Arabidopsis thaliana: one gene and its partners. The protein of the gene in region 1 interacts with the protein of each later gene in a pairwise test. Each region holds a gene or a part of one and is shown in the gene's direction. Other genes may lie near its edges.

Region 1 (5,255 bases):
AGCTTCTTCTCCTCTTATTATTATTACCCGTATGACTGTTATTCTTCTCCGCACTGGGAACAAATCTCCAAAGCTTCTTCCTTCTCTTACCCCACAACGAAATCGAATCACAAGGCTTATAACGAAGAAGAGAAGATGATGATGATTCAGGATCTGGGTTTTGACTACTGAATGATAAGCAGTGGCATAAGACCATTGACGAGCTCATCAAGGACATGAATCAAACCCAACATTGTTCGGACTTTAATCTCAAAGCAACAACACAGATTCTTCTACAAAACCCAGACAAACCAGCATATCTTTCTTTGTAAATTCAACAACTTTACAAAGCCCTATACCCGGAATCCGGTGAAGATAAGAATTAGGGTTCTTCAGCTCAGAAAGTTACCGAGAGAGAGAACCAGAAGCTGACCCCAGTTGTGGATAGTGGATACCAGATGATAGATAAAGCCACGCTCTTTTTTTTGTTTTGTTATCTTCTTCTTCAAATTAAGCTTGTAAAATATCTGTTATCCATAAAGATTGCTTTTTTGGTTTCAAATAATTAATTACATTTACATATTATTTTGTAGAGTCAAAATTGTTGTTTCCGTCGTTTTTGATTGGCTAAAAATTGAATGACTGTATATTTACAGAAATAAATTTTAAGTAAATTCCACTTTCTTCTTTAGTACAGAGTTATGGAGTTGCTGAATGGAGTAGAAACTCTAGTTTCGGGAATTCATCATCACCATCGTACTAACGCGAAGAGAAACAGATTAGTTAGATCTGTCAAGATCTTAAACTCCGGGAATCATGAAATCCCCAGAAAGTAAAGTTTCCTTTTTTGTGCTCTCTATTTTCTGTTTGAGGCATTTTAACGAACACCTTCCGTGCAATCACTATCAATTTTGCAGGTGCCTGTGTTTTGATCTTTACGACAAATTGGTTCCATACAAGAAAGCTTGGTCATGGCAGAAGAGCATTGTCGAGGAGAAAAAGACATTGATTGATAGAAACCAAGACTGCGCTGATACAGTGATTTTGTTACAACACTCTCCTGTTTACACAATGGGAACTGCTAGTACAGAGGATTATCTCAATTTCGATATAAAGGATGCTCCTTTCAATGTTTATCGAACTGAACGTGGTGGCGAAGTCACTTACCATGGCCCTGGTCAGGTAATAATGTCAACAATGCATTGGAAGTTTCTGTGTGTTTTCTAATGAGCTCTTCAAGCTGATTATAGGAATGTTTGAAAATGTAGCTAGTTATGTATCCTATAATCAATCTTCGAAATCACGAGATGGATCTTCATTGGTACCTCAGGATGCTTGAAGAGATTGTCATCCGTGTGCTTTCCTCAACTTTCTCCATTAAAGCTTCTCGTCTTGACGGTTTAACTGGAGTTTGGGTTGGTATGTCTCATATTTCAAATGGATGATTTTGTAAGTGATCTAATATATATTCCGAGATTGATTTCTTTTTGTTTGCAAATGGTATATATAGGCAACCAAAAAGTGGCGGCGATAGGTATTCGTGTGTCGAAATGGATAACATATCATGGTTTAGCTCTTAATGTCACTACAGATCTAACACCATTCAACTGGATAGTTCCATGTGGGATTAGAGACCGGAAAGTTGGAAACATAAAGGGCTTGCTTGAAGATGGAGAACACGGAATGGTTGATGATTTGAGGTTGATCGATATAGTTCACGAGTCTTTACTAAAGGAATTCTCTGAAGCTTTCCAGCTTCAGATCGAAAAGCAAACAGTTTCAGATCCTAATATTCTGTAAGCTGAGTCTTTTAAACGATTGGAGTGCTAAAAGGAAGGTGGTATTGGTAGAACAAAATCCTTGCAATCTCTATAGCATTCTTGTTAAGTTTTGAACATAATGATCTTATCTACATAGAAGGTTTTATTGGATGTTTTGTGACATTGTCTGCTTCTTGTTGATGTTTATATGAGATTGGTCTATTTACTTCTCTTTTGTTCTGTAAAGATTTGTGACTTAAGGGTTTTGGAAGAAGGGTTTAAGACATTGTTAGTTTCTGAATACATTCTTCCCACTTTTGGGCCTCTTTGGTAGTGAAGAGTCGTAGTAGCTGGGAAACCAAATAGTAACTCACAGGATTCCGTTCTTCGAGCACCTAGAAGAGGCATACCAATCAGTTTGTATACGAAATTTTCCAATAAGCATATTCTTGTGCGTGCTGCATTTAGTCATTTGCTGTAATTGAAGGCCAAGCCATTGCGTTAAAGAGAGAAAGGTAGCAATTACAGTAGTCTGATGAGTTCAAATCTGGATGTTTTGTATTAAATGCGTTTGCTCTGTAGAGAAATTTCCATAACTACCTGATATTTACTTAGATGAGTACCTGTCTCTTTGCAGTTTCCACATTTAACCAGTTTGCTGATGGAGATTCATGTGCTAAGTATGACGATCATCAAATGATCCCTTTGCAGTTCATCTAGGTGATAATAGAAGATTCTACAACTGTAGTACAAGATTATGTTCTAGACTTCTAGTGCATTGTGCAGTTAAGTATATAATTATGTAACTGAGAATATATGATCCTAGTTAATGTTTCTGATATCAGAAGATCTGCAGACCATTTTACCTTTCTTTCCCCTCTTTCCCTTTTCTCCAGTTTGATTCATTCTTTCCATTTCAATGTTGTTAGGCTTGGTTCCTCGGATTACAGGAATACGACAAGAAGCTCCGGTTCCAAATGTTTCCAGCAAGTGATGTCGATCAAACTTAATGCTTTGCTTTTCTGGTTAACATATGGACAACAAGATTAGAACTTTTGCTAGCTTTGGATTGATCGAATGGTATCTTCAGAAACTGCGGTGGTTCGTACGCGTGTCTCAACTTGGGGGAAAAAACGGTCATCTGACTTTAAATAAATCGTAAGTTCTTCCTCTCCTTTTTACTTTCTTTTTGCGGTGCCTCTCCTTTAAGAAACGTATGCTTGACAAATAAATTGGCTTTTACCTTATTAGTCGATCCCCGCGGATGCAACTCTCGAGGACTCTACTACGCTGGCACAATCGCAGTTTCTACATTGCCACGTGCTGTTGGTAAACATCGCGTGCCTCTCCATTTCATCACCACTTGCTCCATAGTTCAACACAAAAGTTCTTTCTGCTTTCAATACCCTTACTTTTCAGTTTCCACAGTCCCTGTACTTGTGCATAAAACTGTAAAACACTACTCTGAAAATTTTGCTTCTGTTAGGATATAATGCCACCCTCTCCTCCTAAATCTCCTTTTATTAGCTCTTCACTCAAAGGAGCTCATGAAGATCGCAAATTTAAATGCTATAGGGGTGTCCGAAAGAGGTCTTGGGGCAAATGGGTGTCTGAAATCAGAGTTCCAAAGACTGGACGACGAATATGGCTAGGTTCATACGATGCTCCAGAGAAGGCAGCTAGAGCCTATGATGCTGCTTTGTTCTGTATTAGGGGTGAGAAGGGAGTTTACAATTTTCCCACTGATAAAAAGCCGCAGCTTCCAGAAGGTTCTGTCCGGCCTCTGTCCAAGCTCGACATACAGACAATAGCAACAAACTATGCTTCATCAGTTGTGCATGTACCTTCCCATGCCACCACACTCCCGGCAACAACCCAGGTTCCCTCTGAAGTTCCTGCTTCCTCTGATGTTTCTGCTTCTACTGAGATTACAGAGATGGTCGATGAATATTATCTCCCAACCGATGCAACTGCAGAATCAATATTCTCAGTTGAAGACTTACAACTGGACAGTTTCCTCATGATGGACATTGATTGGATAAACAATCTAATCTGATGTGTAACGTCACTTGCAGTGACATTTAATATGGTTTAACTATCAGTTACCTGTCTGCTTCTTGTAAGGGTATACTTGGATCCTTGTCTTTGAACTTGTTTTATTTAGCATGCAGTTTGTTGTTTCTGTTTTGCATGTGTTCTTCCTTATGAGATGTTGGATATGAATGAAATGATTAGGAGTTGGCGTTCACACCTAAATCTTTGTTGCATGTTTGATGCATTTTTTCCTATATCGTTCACACATGATCTGCCTCTTTTTCTATACTTCTACTTCTACATAAACCATACTAGGACTTATAATCAACTTGTGGATATAATACAACATTATGCCAGCATATACTTGTGCTAGGCTACAAGGGTTGTCTTCTTATGGTCTCAAATACATATACTTCTATCTATCCCATGTTTGAAATGAAATTCTATGATATCTACTACATCAAAACTATCACCTATATTTTGGTTTCTGTTCTTGGTGTTTTGAGTTTCCTCAATCAATCCAACACAATGACATCATTCTCTGCTTCTTCCATATTCACATCAACATCTTCTTCAGCTTTCTCTTCTTCCTCCATCATGCTTTGATCAACCAAATTGCTACTTCTGGGTGTCGGTTCTTGAACATCCAGTATATCAGTTCCGTTGGCAAAGCCTCAACACCAAGCCTCTGTGAGCTGTTTGGATTCCAGTTTTGCAGTGATTTTGGTTTTCTCTCTAATAAGTTGCTCAAATCCCATAATCACTTATATTGATAGTGAATATATCAGTAAGAAAGATACTGCATGGTAGTTTATGCTAATATCCTCCTGAAAGAAAGAGATAAACAGCACTGATGAGCTCAAGGTTCTGATGAAACCACAAAAATACATTACATTACCTTCAGGCTTCAGAAATTGCAGGCTTCACTTATGGTATCTCTTTCAGATCCATATTTAGCGTAGTAGCACATCAACAAAACATCACTTAGAAAAGGCTCAGATCAGTTTGAGAAATGGATCCGTAGCAAAGCAGAGCACATCATATACTCGTGAAATGATCACACTGGCATCCCTCAGAGATAGGTCCAAGCAATAACAAAAAGCATGGATTAGAATCTGTGGCCATGTAAAATTAACAATCTTCTAAATCAAGTTCAGCAAATATTTACGAACTATTCCTTACTTGAGTTGTTGGAACATTCTGCATCAGTGATGCTGCTTTTGAAATGCAGAAAGAGAACAGTGCTTAGATAGAATCTTCATATAGGACTCCACGATTTTCCTTGGTAATCTTCAATCTGTAATTCAGGTTCAATTTTACTGAATCCGTAGCATTTGTTCAGTTTCCGTCTTTGCATAACCCTCCTTACTTCTTCTGCAGCATGGTAGTTACCAGATTCTGTGTGAATCTTGCTAAGCAATACATAATTGGCTGGATTATCGGGTTCAGATTTCATTAGCTCGTTTGCAATAATTTTTCCTG
Region 2 (5,962 bases), on another chromosome or scaffold:
ATTTGAGAAAATGCCACTAGTCATCATTTTGTTGATGGTGTGAGATACAATAATAAAAAGTCAAACAACCCTAAGCGAGAAGGCTGGAGTTACTTCAGTTATGTGTTCCATCTTTTGCCTCTCCATAAGAATCGACGGGTAGCCGCATATTATCATGTAATTTAAATATGGATTTTTTTTTGTAGTGTAAACTTTATTTAAAAACAAAAAAAAGAATCTTTACAAAAAGAATTTGACGTTGAAAAAACTTTTTTTTAATACAACAAAATGGTAGGTTCACGAATAATACTGACAAACTTTTTTCAATTTGGCTTCATTTCTAAGCACAATTCGCGAATATATTGATTAACCATTACATTGGAGGACTCATATTAATTGCCTTTAGATAATAGCATTTCAATACTTAATTGGTAAAAGGTGATGCTCGTTTTGTGTAGTTTTGTATTGGCAATGGGCGAGAATTACAATTTTATATGACGCTTTTGATTATATATATCGCCATACTGAAAAACCAAAATATGACATTGAACTTTTTTTTGTTGATTAAAATCTGATGTTGACAAAATAAACATAAATGCTCAAAAAACATATTCATTAGTCTAGGATTCTCTTGATGTTTTAATGCAGATTGTAATATGTAGAGGTCTTGAGTAGCAATGGTTGGTTGAGAGCATTTTCATTTCGTTCTCTCAAAATAATTCTTGGAAATAGGATGTTTGGTTTGGTTTGGTTTGATTCTAGTTTTATTGGGTTTAATTGTTTTTAACTTTTCTCTATTTTTATCTCAATACTCTATTTTTACTTTAATTTCACTTCAACATATCTCTATTTTTATCTCTAAAATAGAGATGGGTTAGAGATACTATTATGGGTTTACTCTCCTATCGCTCGATCTCCTCTATCTCATAGTACTACTTTGCTTCATTTTTATAGAGTTTGGGAAAATCTTGTGTTTACGCCGGTGTATATTTGTAATCTATCAAATATCCTACCATTGATAATTTTATATAAAATTCACATGATAGAAAAAAACCAAGAAAGAAACGAAAAAACATACACATTGGCAAAATGACACCAATATAGCAACCGTAATGTATGATTAGACAATTTTAGGATCCTAAAGAGAGTCCATCGATTGTGATAATAGTTATGTATCATTATCATTCGAAAATCTTAATAAACTATAGTGGACCAATACAAGCACGAAGATTAAACCTCCTCCATTCAATTTCGTATTCGTTCATACTCAAAATTTAAGAAAATAACAAAAAAATGACGACCATCGGATTCAATCTTAGCTATTCATTGAAACGACGACGAAACGAGGAAAAGGAAACTTATGATGGGACAATCAATACGCTGTCGTTTAAAAAACAATAATTATCACGAAACCTATGAAGAAAAACAGATCAAAATAGAGAAATATTGAAATTCGTGCGTTGAGAGAAAAACGTTGAACGATGGGAGCCGGTAATGGAGAAACGCCAAAACCTACACAGATTTCAATTTCTAAAGATCAATTCCTCGCTTGGAAACGCCAAAAGGTATCTCTCTATCTCTTTCTCCTTTACATGTTGATTCCTAGTGAATATATCGATTTGAAGAACCCTAGATTTGATATCTCTACTCAAACGCATAATCTTTAGGAAGCCCTCGTTGTTTATTTTCATGTAATGAATCTTACATAAAGTTAATCAAAAGAATCATCATTATTGATTAACCTAAGTTTGTTGTTTACTTGTAAGGATGCTGAGTTATTAGCCAAACAAGCTGAAGCAGCAAGGAAACGACAAGAGGACATAGCTTCAGGTCGTGTTCCAATGAATGGTCGTGAGCTTTTCTTGCATGAGCCTTGGGTTTTCGACGATACTCATCATTGATTCTGGTCTATTCACTACTTCTTCATAGGTAACAGAGATCATTCGACTCTCATTAGTACTGCTACTTGCATCTGAGTTTATGAATTGGGACAATGGATCTGCAGATTGTGTGTGATCTGATGAAACCATTGTTGTGTTTTTTTGTTTCATCTCAAGAAACTAGCTAAAGAGATCTGTTACTGCATTATCTATTGATGTTGTCTATTTATGTGTGTTTCAGGTGATTTAAGACATTTCCTCGATGATTTGTGATCCAACTCTGTTTCTCTTTTGTTGTTGTACTCTCATGTTCCCACTTTTGTCTCAAGTGTTAAATCAGAAATTTAGTCCTCAGTAATTGTGACTTAATCGTTGGCTCTGATTATTTGGAAATTTGGTGGTTGAATGTTACATCCCTCAATGTTTGATATATATTCAAAGGCAAACAAAAGTCGAGACATTAACTGAAATTGTGTTAATGGGACATTTTTAGTGAAGATAGTTCATAGAGTCGACGAAAAAGACAACAAACTCTGCGCTATGATGTATCATGAGGACTATTTAGCTATCAAACTCATAAAAGTTAGCGTCTTTGATGCTTAAACAGCATATGAGTATCTCGTAATCTCATCACCGTTTATCCAAAGATTTTGATGAAAAAAGAAGAGCAAACTTAAGAAATCTCCAAAACGATATACAACGAAACGAGGCTAGAGAAGGAATATAGTCAAAAATTCTAATTTTAGTTCCTATTAACTCGCCTAATTATAAGCAGTTTTCTTCATCCTCCTTCCGTATATATTAACAAAATTATTTTCAAACAAGGATTTTTTGGATTGAAGTTTTGTAGATTACTGATCAGCATTATTATATCAACTTACGATTTGGATGAATCAAAATCTCTTCCTGCTTCGCCAATATGGGTCGGGTGAAATTAGAAATCAAGAGAATAGAGAACACAACGAATCGACAAGTTACGTTTTCAAAACGTAGAAATGGTTTGATTAAGAAAGCTTATGAATTGTCGATTCTTTGTGATATCGACATTGCTCTTATCATGTTCTCTCCTTCTGATCGCCTTAGCCTTTTCTCCGGAAAAACTCGGTATTACATCATTTAATTTACCCCTTTTTCATTAACATTTTCCATTGCTAGCTTTCTAGGTTTTGGACCATATCATATCTTAGTTCTCTGTCTCTTTAGGATTGAAGACGTTTTTTCAAGATTCATCAATCTTCCTAAACAAGAACGAGAGAGGTACGCTAAAAACTACTTTCTTTTCCAAGTTTTATAAATTACTACATTTTTAGTAAATTTTGACTTTGGTTATTTGATTTGTTTTCTTTCAGTGCTCTATACTTTCCTGACCAGAATAGACGCCCGTATGTATATCAGTTTTTCTTTTGTTACATTACACTTGATCATATGGGTATAATAAATTTTTCATGACCCTCTCTTTTCTTTTTTGGTTTGTTTGCAGAGATATTCAAAACAAAGAGGTTAGTTCTAATCATAGTGATTAGTTTGTTCCTCATTATGTTGTTTCCTTAAAGTCAAGAATAATGTTGTTGTTATGTGAAAGTGTCTACTAAGGATTCTGCAGCAACTCAAGACTGAAAATGACATCGCTCTTCAAGTCACGAAGTCCGTAAATTCCTTCGGTTTGTCGTTATAATTGATTTTATAATTTTCATATGTTTACCAAGATACACTCCTTCAAAACACATTTAAACTATACACTAAACTTTTTTTTTCTTTCATATAATTATTTTGAAAAAGCCCTGCAGCTATCAACTCTGACGTCGAGGTAATTAATCGTTATTCCATCAATTAATTAGAAGACATAGATATATTTCTAAATGTCTCGCTTGAAATCGGAAATCTAGGAACTTGAGCATGAAGTTTGTAGGTTACAACAACAACTCCAAATGGCAGAAGAAGAACTAAGGTTTTTACTCGAAAAATAAATGTTATATGTTATAGTTTATAATTTTTTTAACTCAAATCATGATTGCTTACTATATAATATGAGCAGGAGATACGAACCGGATCCAATAAGATTCACGACCATGGAGGAATACGAAGTTTCTGAGAAGCAACTTCTCGACACTCTAACACATGTTGTCCAACGGCGAGACCATCTCATGAGCAACCATTTATCTTCGTATGAAGCATCTACTATGCAACCAAACATTGGTGGTCCTTTTGTAAATGACGTCGTTGAAGGTTGGCTACCTGAAAATGGGACCAATCAAACCCATTTGTTTGATGCATCGGCCCATTCTAACCAACTCAGGTACTATAATTGTTTTTTTTTCTTTGATCAAGAAGATTTGTAAACTTTTCACATTTTTTTATAATCTTGATCAAGAAAATTCAGTAAATTTTTACTTTAAAGAAATGTAAAATTGGCAGAGAATTATCATCGGCAATGTATGAACCATTGTTGCAAGGAAGTAGCTCAAGCTCGAACCAAAACAACATGAGTGAATGCCACGTGACGAACCACAATGGTGAAATGTTCCCTGAGTGGGCTCAGGCGTATTCATCCTCGGCCTTATTCGCTTCTATGCAGCAACAGGTTTTTTTTGGTCTTTTTTTTTGTCTTTAATAACTTAAGTTAAAAATGTTGACTTTTTTGGTCAATGTGCCAGCATGAAGGTGTGGGTCCCAGTATAGAAGAGATGATGCCAGCTCAGCAGAGTGATATTCCGGGAGTGACGGCGGAGACACAAGTTGATCATGAAGTCTCCGACTATGAAACAAAGGTTCCTCAACTCAGTAGCCAATAATGTATTATTTATTTATGTATACCATTTTTAAAAATTTATTCATATTTTTTTCCAACAACCCATAAAAAAGTGAACTTTTTTTTGCCATGAGAAGACGATGAAGAGTCGTGTTATTTTTGTATACTATTCTTTTTGGCAACACCATTTTATAGTTTTATGGGCGAAAAGCAAATCAAGTTTTATCTTCTTTAATTTTCACAAAAAAAAAGAAATCTTATCTTCATTATGTTATTCTTATATGTGTTCTGTTTCTTTTTTTTTTCAAAATTACACTGCCATAGAAGTTATAGTCAGGAGAAGACAACAAAAAAGAAAAATCTGACACATAAATAACCTTTTACTACACAATTTGTTGTTAATTTGTAACGGAAAATTTTATCTTCTCAGTTTATACTAAAAACATGGCTACAGTAAAATCTCTTTAAATTAATAATATTGAGACAAAAAAAATTACTAATTTAGAGAGATATTATTTATCGATAAATTAATAAAATTGTACAAATTTTGGAAATTCTTACAATAATTCAATATAAGATGTAGTTTTTTTCTTTATAATCGATAGTATTTATGAAACCAATTACAAGTATAAAACAATTATTAAGTTTAAAAAATAATACAAATTTTTTTTGATGTTGTAAAATACTAGAATTGAATACTACAAAAAATTAATAAAATTGAAGAAAAACATTAATAGAATCATATTTTACATATGATATTTATAATAAATATTTGTAAATTTATACAATTATTAATTTATACTATTGATAGGACCATATATTTATATAAAATTTTCAAAAAAATTATTATCTTATTAATTTATCAATTTGTATCAATTTTTACATTGGTCCCAACTCTATACCGGAAAAATTTATTAATTTATCGAATAATAATTTATAGAGGTTTTACTGTATTTCGTTTCCACTTGTGTAGTTAAGACAAAAAAAAAAGAAAGAAAAACTGAATAGATATTTCTCATCAGATTTAGATTTTCTTCCTTAATTGTCTATTATCTTCCTTAATAGTCTTTTTCTATTAAGAAATAATCTTAAGATTTTTTTCCTTCCCCTGTAATCTATCCATTATAATTTTCTAAAACCGACAATATTCTATAATTTTGTTGTTGACTTGGCAGAATCTGGCAAATTTGGATTTTTGGTTGGTCTCCATATTTGCAGATTCTGTGTTGTGTCTTTGTAGATCCCATATTTCAAAAGTCAAAGAAAAATGCTTATTTTGGACCAATCTTTGCCTGGGTTACCAAAATTATAAAATTTTGCACAATATTTTATAAAATCGTTAATTTAAAGAATT
Region 3 (5,705 bases), on another chromosome or scaffold:
TTATGGAACAAGTCCAGAAAATGAGAAGCGATTATTTGAGGCTAATACCTGCATATTGCCGATAAGTAGAGCAAATAAGACTAGTCCAGATATGCAGATTGATATAGCAAATATGATTTCACCAACGAATTTGCTAGTTTGGAGATTCTGTCCCAATGCACTGCAACAACAAAAGCAACTTGTGAGAATGATGACTTGTTTAAATTGTGACAGATATATATGCTTAAGATGCAAATATAAACAGGTCATTTCACGGCTTAAAATCTCCAAATATAGCTAGTTAGTTATTGTCAACAGTTTTATGTGTGTCTTACAAACCTCAGATTTCGAAGACCCCACCAGAAGCAGTAGAAGAATTTCTTCCAGAAATCATGTGATTCAACAACGCCACTCTTAAGAGCATCAGTGAAGATGCCAAAGTTGAAGATGGTTGAGTTTGTTATATCACCAGGGTCGAGAAATGGGCAAGAAGTGGTCAGGAAATTGTTGCTAACGTTACGATCGTTTTCACAGTAGAGGAATTTCATATTACAACCTTTTGTCTTCTCGCATGCCTCTTGCCAGCATCTGTCTTCTCGTTCTACTGAGATTAAGTACCATAAAGCTCCAAACACCTGAATAAGTAAGTTTAACATATAACCTTTAATATGCATTTACATGTATAAAGATTCAGTCATCAAAAGATCCGAAACTCACATGACTGGCTAACATATAGAGAGAGAGGTTCCAAGCAGCTCCAGCCCATGCTGTTTCAGTAACAATGCCAGATGTTCTTGTCACTTCAGTGTAAAGCGGATACATACGGAGAATCCGAGGAACATATTGAGCAATTATGGAAAATTTAAGGTAGTCTTTTGTTAGCAAAGAGACTGGCTGGTTGACGCTTGGAATAACGGCTAAAACTACTATCTGCAAAAGTTAAGAAGCCAGAGGATTCAAAAAGAAATGATCATTGACATTTTGAACAAGTAATCAAACTAGTCATTTACCTGTGGGAGAGGAAGGATAGAGAGTAGATCAATGATGAAGTAAGAAGAGAGATACTTTAAGGCTATTGCCTTAGCATCATCTACCAGTTCACCTCTTCCAAAAACCCGCGAAGAAGGAGCGATGTAAGCTGTCCTGAACTGAAACACAATGTGAATAATGTAAAAGGCATCGATGAGCGTACGAAGCAAACTCGCAGCTATCTCCAACTTTGAGTCCAAAGTAAGACAGTGCCTTGCGCTATCGACAATGGGAATGTAGAAAAACAATGGATCAATCGCCAAAGCAACCACACAAGCAAATAAAAATATTTTGTTCCAGTTCTGGAGAAACGAATCCTGCGGGTTTATGATGTTCTTCCGAGTAACACTAGATGTTTCCTTGTGGTCAGGATCCTTATGTGAAGGGAAACTCAATGGCTTCTTGAATCCCCATTTTACATTCTTGAAAACTCTATCTAAAGAAGGTCTAGCTTTTCTTCCATAACCATATTCAGAGGATAATGGTTTGCCTTCATCTTTGAACCTAAACAAAATCATAAGAAAATGAGATAGTAGAAAAAATCATTCAACTATGAACTGTTTTCAAGATTTTCTGTAACTACCAACCTTACACGATTATCATGGCTAAATGCCATCAGCCAAACCCTTGTATATTTCAACTGATCTTTCGCTTACAGGGTGACGAGTCCTAACATTATAATAAGAACCAAAACTTAAGACATACGAATTCTTCTACATGATTACGTACAATGATAATCCCCAATACCAATTAAAAATAAGCAAGTAGACACCTAACTACAAATACAATTGTGTTGTGTGTATGTGTTTTTAAATATTTCTTTCTTGAAAAGGTTAATTAGAGAACCTAGAATCAGTCAATTTCCACCTAACATTAGATTATACCAAATCCTGTAATTCCTACCCATTCCTGCTCAATAAATGGAAACCACACGAACAACTTAAAAACACTGTTCATCAAAGATAAGAAATCCAAATTTCAAAAAACCATTGACCATAAACGAAAGACATATATCTAAGCGTTTCGGTTCTGAGAAACAGCAAAATAAATTCAGACGAAAAAGAACAAAAACGGAAATCGGAATCAAAATTCTATCATCAAACTAACCTGAAACGAAGTAGGTAACGGCGAGATAGTAAGATTCGGCTAATAAACGGAAGTCGGTGAACGGCGTTTTCTTCAATTCAAGCAACTGGTCCCGTCGTCGCTGGAAAGAGAGAGAGACTCATATGGCGGTTACTTGTATCTCTCTCTGTATATTGTTTCCTGGAAAAGTAGTATATGAGAATTTTATTATACGACAAAAAGGGAGGGAAAGAGGAATATTATGCAATTAAATATTATAAAGTCTGTTCAATTGAAAATCATTTCATAAAACAATTTCATTCAGATGAATGACTTGGTCAAAGTCAGACGGCGAGAATAAGCAAGTTGCCAAATTTTAAGTACCGGGCCCATTATGAATATTGAGCCCATTTAGATTCATGACCCAAAATGAAGTAACCGCCCCACCATATGTTCCTTATTTCTTTTCTCTTCACACTGATTTATTTTCTGTCGGAAAATACGGACGGCGTCGTCGTTCTTTTTGACGGTGTAGCTCACCGGCGTCGATTTTTAGATTTTTTTTTAAGGTAACATATTCTTCCTTGTGTTTAATCTCCATACTTTTGATCTACTTTTCGTTCTTGTTTAGTCTTTAGTGTTGTTCGAGCTTTTGTCTCCAATTTCAATCAATTCAAAGGGTTTTTAGATTCCAAATTTTGTAGCTTCCGTTGACACATCGAGTTGTCGAACTGTGTTTCGGATTGATCTGTCTGGAGCTTCTATTTCTGCTTCCTTATCTACTGTGAATGAAATTGCCACCGATATAGATAGTTAGCTAGGGTTTATTCGTGAGCTCGCGTAGATGAATTAGGAAGAATTCAGGTGATCATTTTTATGTTGCATTGTCTATTATTGTAACTGAATCTGGAGAAATTTTGATAAAATTGTTGTTTGACTCAGTGCAAACAAATTTACAAGTTTTCAGGAAATTGACTTAATACTAATCTTGAATTTTGCAGGGAAACACTAAGCAGCAAATTACAAGTGGGTGATTTGTGTTTGTTACATAGTCTTATATCTAACTATGTCAGATTCTGGTGAGCCTAAACCTTCTCAGCAAGAAGAACCTCTACCTCAACCTGCTGCCCAAGAAACTCAGTCTCAACAAGGTTACATATACTTCCTTCTATCTCAATTCTAGTTGTCGTCTCATTGAGATTTTTTCTTGTTCTTCGTTGTTAGCTAGAAATTTTCATTTACACTAATCAAATCATTCTTCTGTTTCAGTTTGCACTTTCTTCAAGAAGCCAACGAAAAGTAAAAACATAAGAAAAAGAACCATTGACGCTGATGAAGAAGACGGAGATTCGAAAAGCGAAAGCTCTATTCTACAAAATCTAAAGAAAGTTGCAAAACCCGATAGCAAGTTATACTTTTCTTCTGGACCATCTAAGAGTTCTACTACAACGAGTGGAGCTCCTGAGAGGTCCGTCTTTCACTACGATTCATCCAAGGAAATCCAGGTTCAGAACGACAGTGGAGCAACAGCAACCCTTGAAACTGAGACCGACTTCAATCAAGACGCACGAGCTATCCGTGAGAGAGTTCTTAAAAAAGCAGACGAAGCATTGAAAGGGAATAAGAAAAAGGCTTCTGATGAGAAGCTGTACAAAGGAATTCATGGATATACAGATCACAAAGCTGGGTTTAGAAGAGAACAAACAATCTCGAGCGAGAAAGCTGGAGGCTCACACGGGCCATTAAGAGCTTCTGCTCACATAAGAGTGTCGGCTAGATTCGATTACCAGCCAGACATTTGCAAGGATTACAAAGAAACCGGATACTGTGGATATGGAGATTCGTGTAAGTTCTTGCATGACCGTGGGGATTACAAACCAGGATGGCAGATAGAGAAAGAGTGGGAAGAAGCAGAGAAAGTTAGGAAGAGAAATAAAGCTATGGGAGTTGAGGATGAAGATGATGAGGCTGACAAGGATAGCGACGAAGACGAAAATGCATTGCCCTTTGCTTGCTTCATTTGCAGGGAGCCTTTTGTTGATCCAGTTGTCACCAAATGCAAGCATTACTTCTGTGAGCATTGTGCTTTAAAGGTATGATCATCACAATTACGAGTCTGTTTTTTTTTTAGTTGTGAAGAAATGTGTGAAACTAGCGAGTTTTGTTTAATGTAATGATGCAGCATCACACGAAGAACAAGAAGTGCTTTGTGTGTAACCAACCAACAATGGGGATTTTCAATGCAGCACATGAGATCAAGAAGAGAATGGCTGAAGAACGGAGTAAAGCTGAACAAGGATTGTGAAGTCCTTGTTTCACTGGACAAAAAGGCAAAAACTATATTTGGTTATTTACTTGAGGAAAGCTTTTTGTTTTGTTGTACTCACTGGCCTATATATATTCATTCGGATGACGACGATAGTTGTTTCAAACTGATTAACTTTTAAATTTAAACAAACTGAAAATTGAATCAGAGTTTTGGAGTCAACTTCCTAGTAAATCATCGTCAGAATAATAGTCGTCAAACTCGATATCCTGATTCACATATTTTGATATAGAAATTTGCTTCCCAAATTGAAAACGCGGTCGTTTAATAAACAGGCCAAAAGTAAAGTTCCTTACCAAACTTTTTAATCTAATGGGCCCGTGCGCTAAGATACAGTTAATGGGCAACGCGAATCGGCCCATAAATAAACCACACCACAAGTAGCGGTAACAAGGTAGTTCTATGGGGTAGAAAACGCATCTGAACAGGTAATTATTTGTCCTACAAGGTTCGATCGAATGTTCTCATCTCTTTTTTTCTCTCTGGCTTTCCGATCTTCTAGATTTTCCAAGTCTTGAATGATGAGGAAGGCGAAGGCTGTGGCCTGTGGGTGAGGTCGTGCCAAAGTCTAAGGCTGTAACACGCGTCTGGTGGGACATCAACAGGTGTCCGGTTCCGGCTGACGTTGATGTTCGCAGGGTCGGTCCGTGTATAAAACGGGCTTTGGAGAAATTAGGCTACTCTGGTCCTCTCACCATCACTGCCGTTGGGATACTAACAGACGTCCCTCATGACTTCCTCAGACAAGTCCATTCCTCTGGAATCGCTCTTCATCACGTTCCCACCGGTTTATATCTTCTCATCCTTCATTTTCTAAAATTAGGGTTTTGCTTCTATTTGCCCTTTTTGTTTTTGTTTTTAAGTCTTATAGTTTCCGAAACAGCTCTCTCAGGGATTGGGTGGGCTGTGGTTAAGTGGACCTGGTATAATCAACCTCCGGCTAATTTAATGCTCATATCGTACGAGCATATCTACTTGACCACTCTTGACATGCTAGGTAGGATCGGATACAACACTGTTCGGTCTATTCTTCCAGATGATCCTCAACAAGCCGCATCCTCCGCCTCCCCTTCTACAGGGTCTTTCCTCTGGGAAAGCTTACTGGCAAGCTTACCAGCAGCAGGTCCTTGTCCTCTCTCTCTCTCTCTCACACTCAGTACAGTGTTGAAATAGTTAAGCTGTGTCTGACCTAGTTATCTCCACGGACGCAGATGATATGGATTCAGGGGCACCTCAGGAGGACAAGTGCGGCGAGATGGGTGAACCTGCCTTGCTTTGTGAGCAATGCAGATTTACTGTCCAAGGC

What was found. The genes of interacting proteins can lie anywhere in the genome.
Region 2: the proteins of AT4G31060 (region 1) and AGL104 interact in a two-hybrid assay, tested with the Arabidopsis thaliana proteins (one large-scale study listed by BioGRID).
Region 3: the proteins of AT4G31060 (region 1) and AT1G01350 interact in a two-hybrid assay, tested with the Arabidopsis thaliana proteins (one large-scale study listed by BioGRID).

The regions. Positions count from the first base shown.
Region 1 is NC_003075.7:15,113,665-15,118,919, forward strand, and holds AT4G31060 (Integrase-type DNA-binding superfamily protein), read left to right. Parts: upstream 1-2,483; 5' UTR 2,484-2,524; intron 2,525-2,668; 5' UTR 2,669-2,897; intron 2,898-2,990; 5' UTR 2,991-3,231; coding exon 3,232-3,795; 3' UTR 3,796-4,092; downstream 4,093-5,255. Other genes in the region: AT4G31040 (CemA-like proton extrusion protein-like protein), read right to left, coding at 1-217; AT4G31050 (Biotin/lipoate A/B protein ligase family), read left to right, coding at 681-811, 897-1,161, 1,248-1,398, 1,490-1,779; AT4G31073 (uncharacterized protein), read right to left, coding at 4,369-4,508, 4,820-4,898; AT4G31070 (PPR superfamily protein), read right to left, coding at 5,032-5,255.
Region 2 is NC_003070.9:7,811,076-7,817,037, reverse strand, and holds AGL104 (AGAMOUS-like 104), read left to right. Parts: upstream 1-2,692; 5' UTR 2,693-2,778; coding exon 2,779-2,963; intron 2,964-3,062; coding exon 3,063-3,116; intron 3,117-3,208; coding exon 3,209-3,241; intron 3,242-3,339; coding exon 3,340-3,358; intron 3,359-3,441; coding exon 3,442-3,503; intron 3,504-3,638; coding exon 3,639-3,666; intron 3,667-3,745; coding exon 3,746-3,807; intron 3,808-3,894; coding exon 3,895-4,155; intron 4,156-4,274; coding exon 4,275-4,440; intron 4,441-4,513; coding exon 4,514-4,651; 3' UTR 4,652-4,827; downstream 4,828-5,962. Other genes in the region: AT1G22140 (zinc finger CCCH domain protein), read left to right, coding at 1,461-1,544, 1,746-1,880. UniProt on the Arabidopsis thaliana protein: Probable transcription factor that forms heterodimers with the MADS-box proteins AGL30 and AGL65 and is involved in the regulation of pollen maturation at the late stages of pollen development and pollen tube growth.
Region 3 is NC_003070.9:133,593-139,297, forward strand, and holds AT1G01350 (Zinc finger (CCCH-type/C3HC4-type RING finger) family protein), read left to right. Parts: upstream 1-2,497; 5' UTR 2,498-2,642; intron 2,643-3,074; 5' UTR 3,075-3,139; coding exon 3,140-3,224; intron 3,225-3,342; coding exon 3,343-4,166; intron 4,167-4,255; coding exon 4,256-4,378; 3' UTR 4,379-4,570; downstream 4,571-5,705. Other genes in the region: CNGC10 (cyclic nucleotide gated channel 10), read right to left, coding at 49-160, 319-614, 697-909, 990-1,512, 1,596-1,624; AT1G01355 (Putative endonuclease or glycosyl hydrolase), read left to right, coding at 4,921-4,949, 5,005-5,186, 5,271-5,522, 5,611-5,705.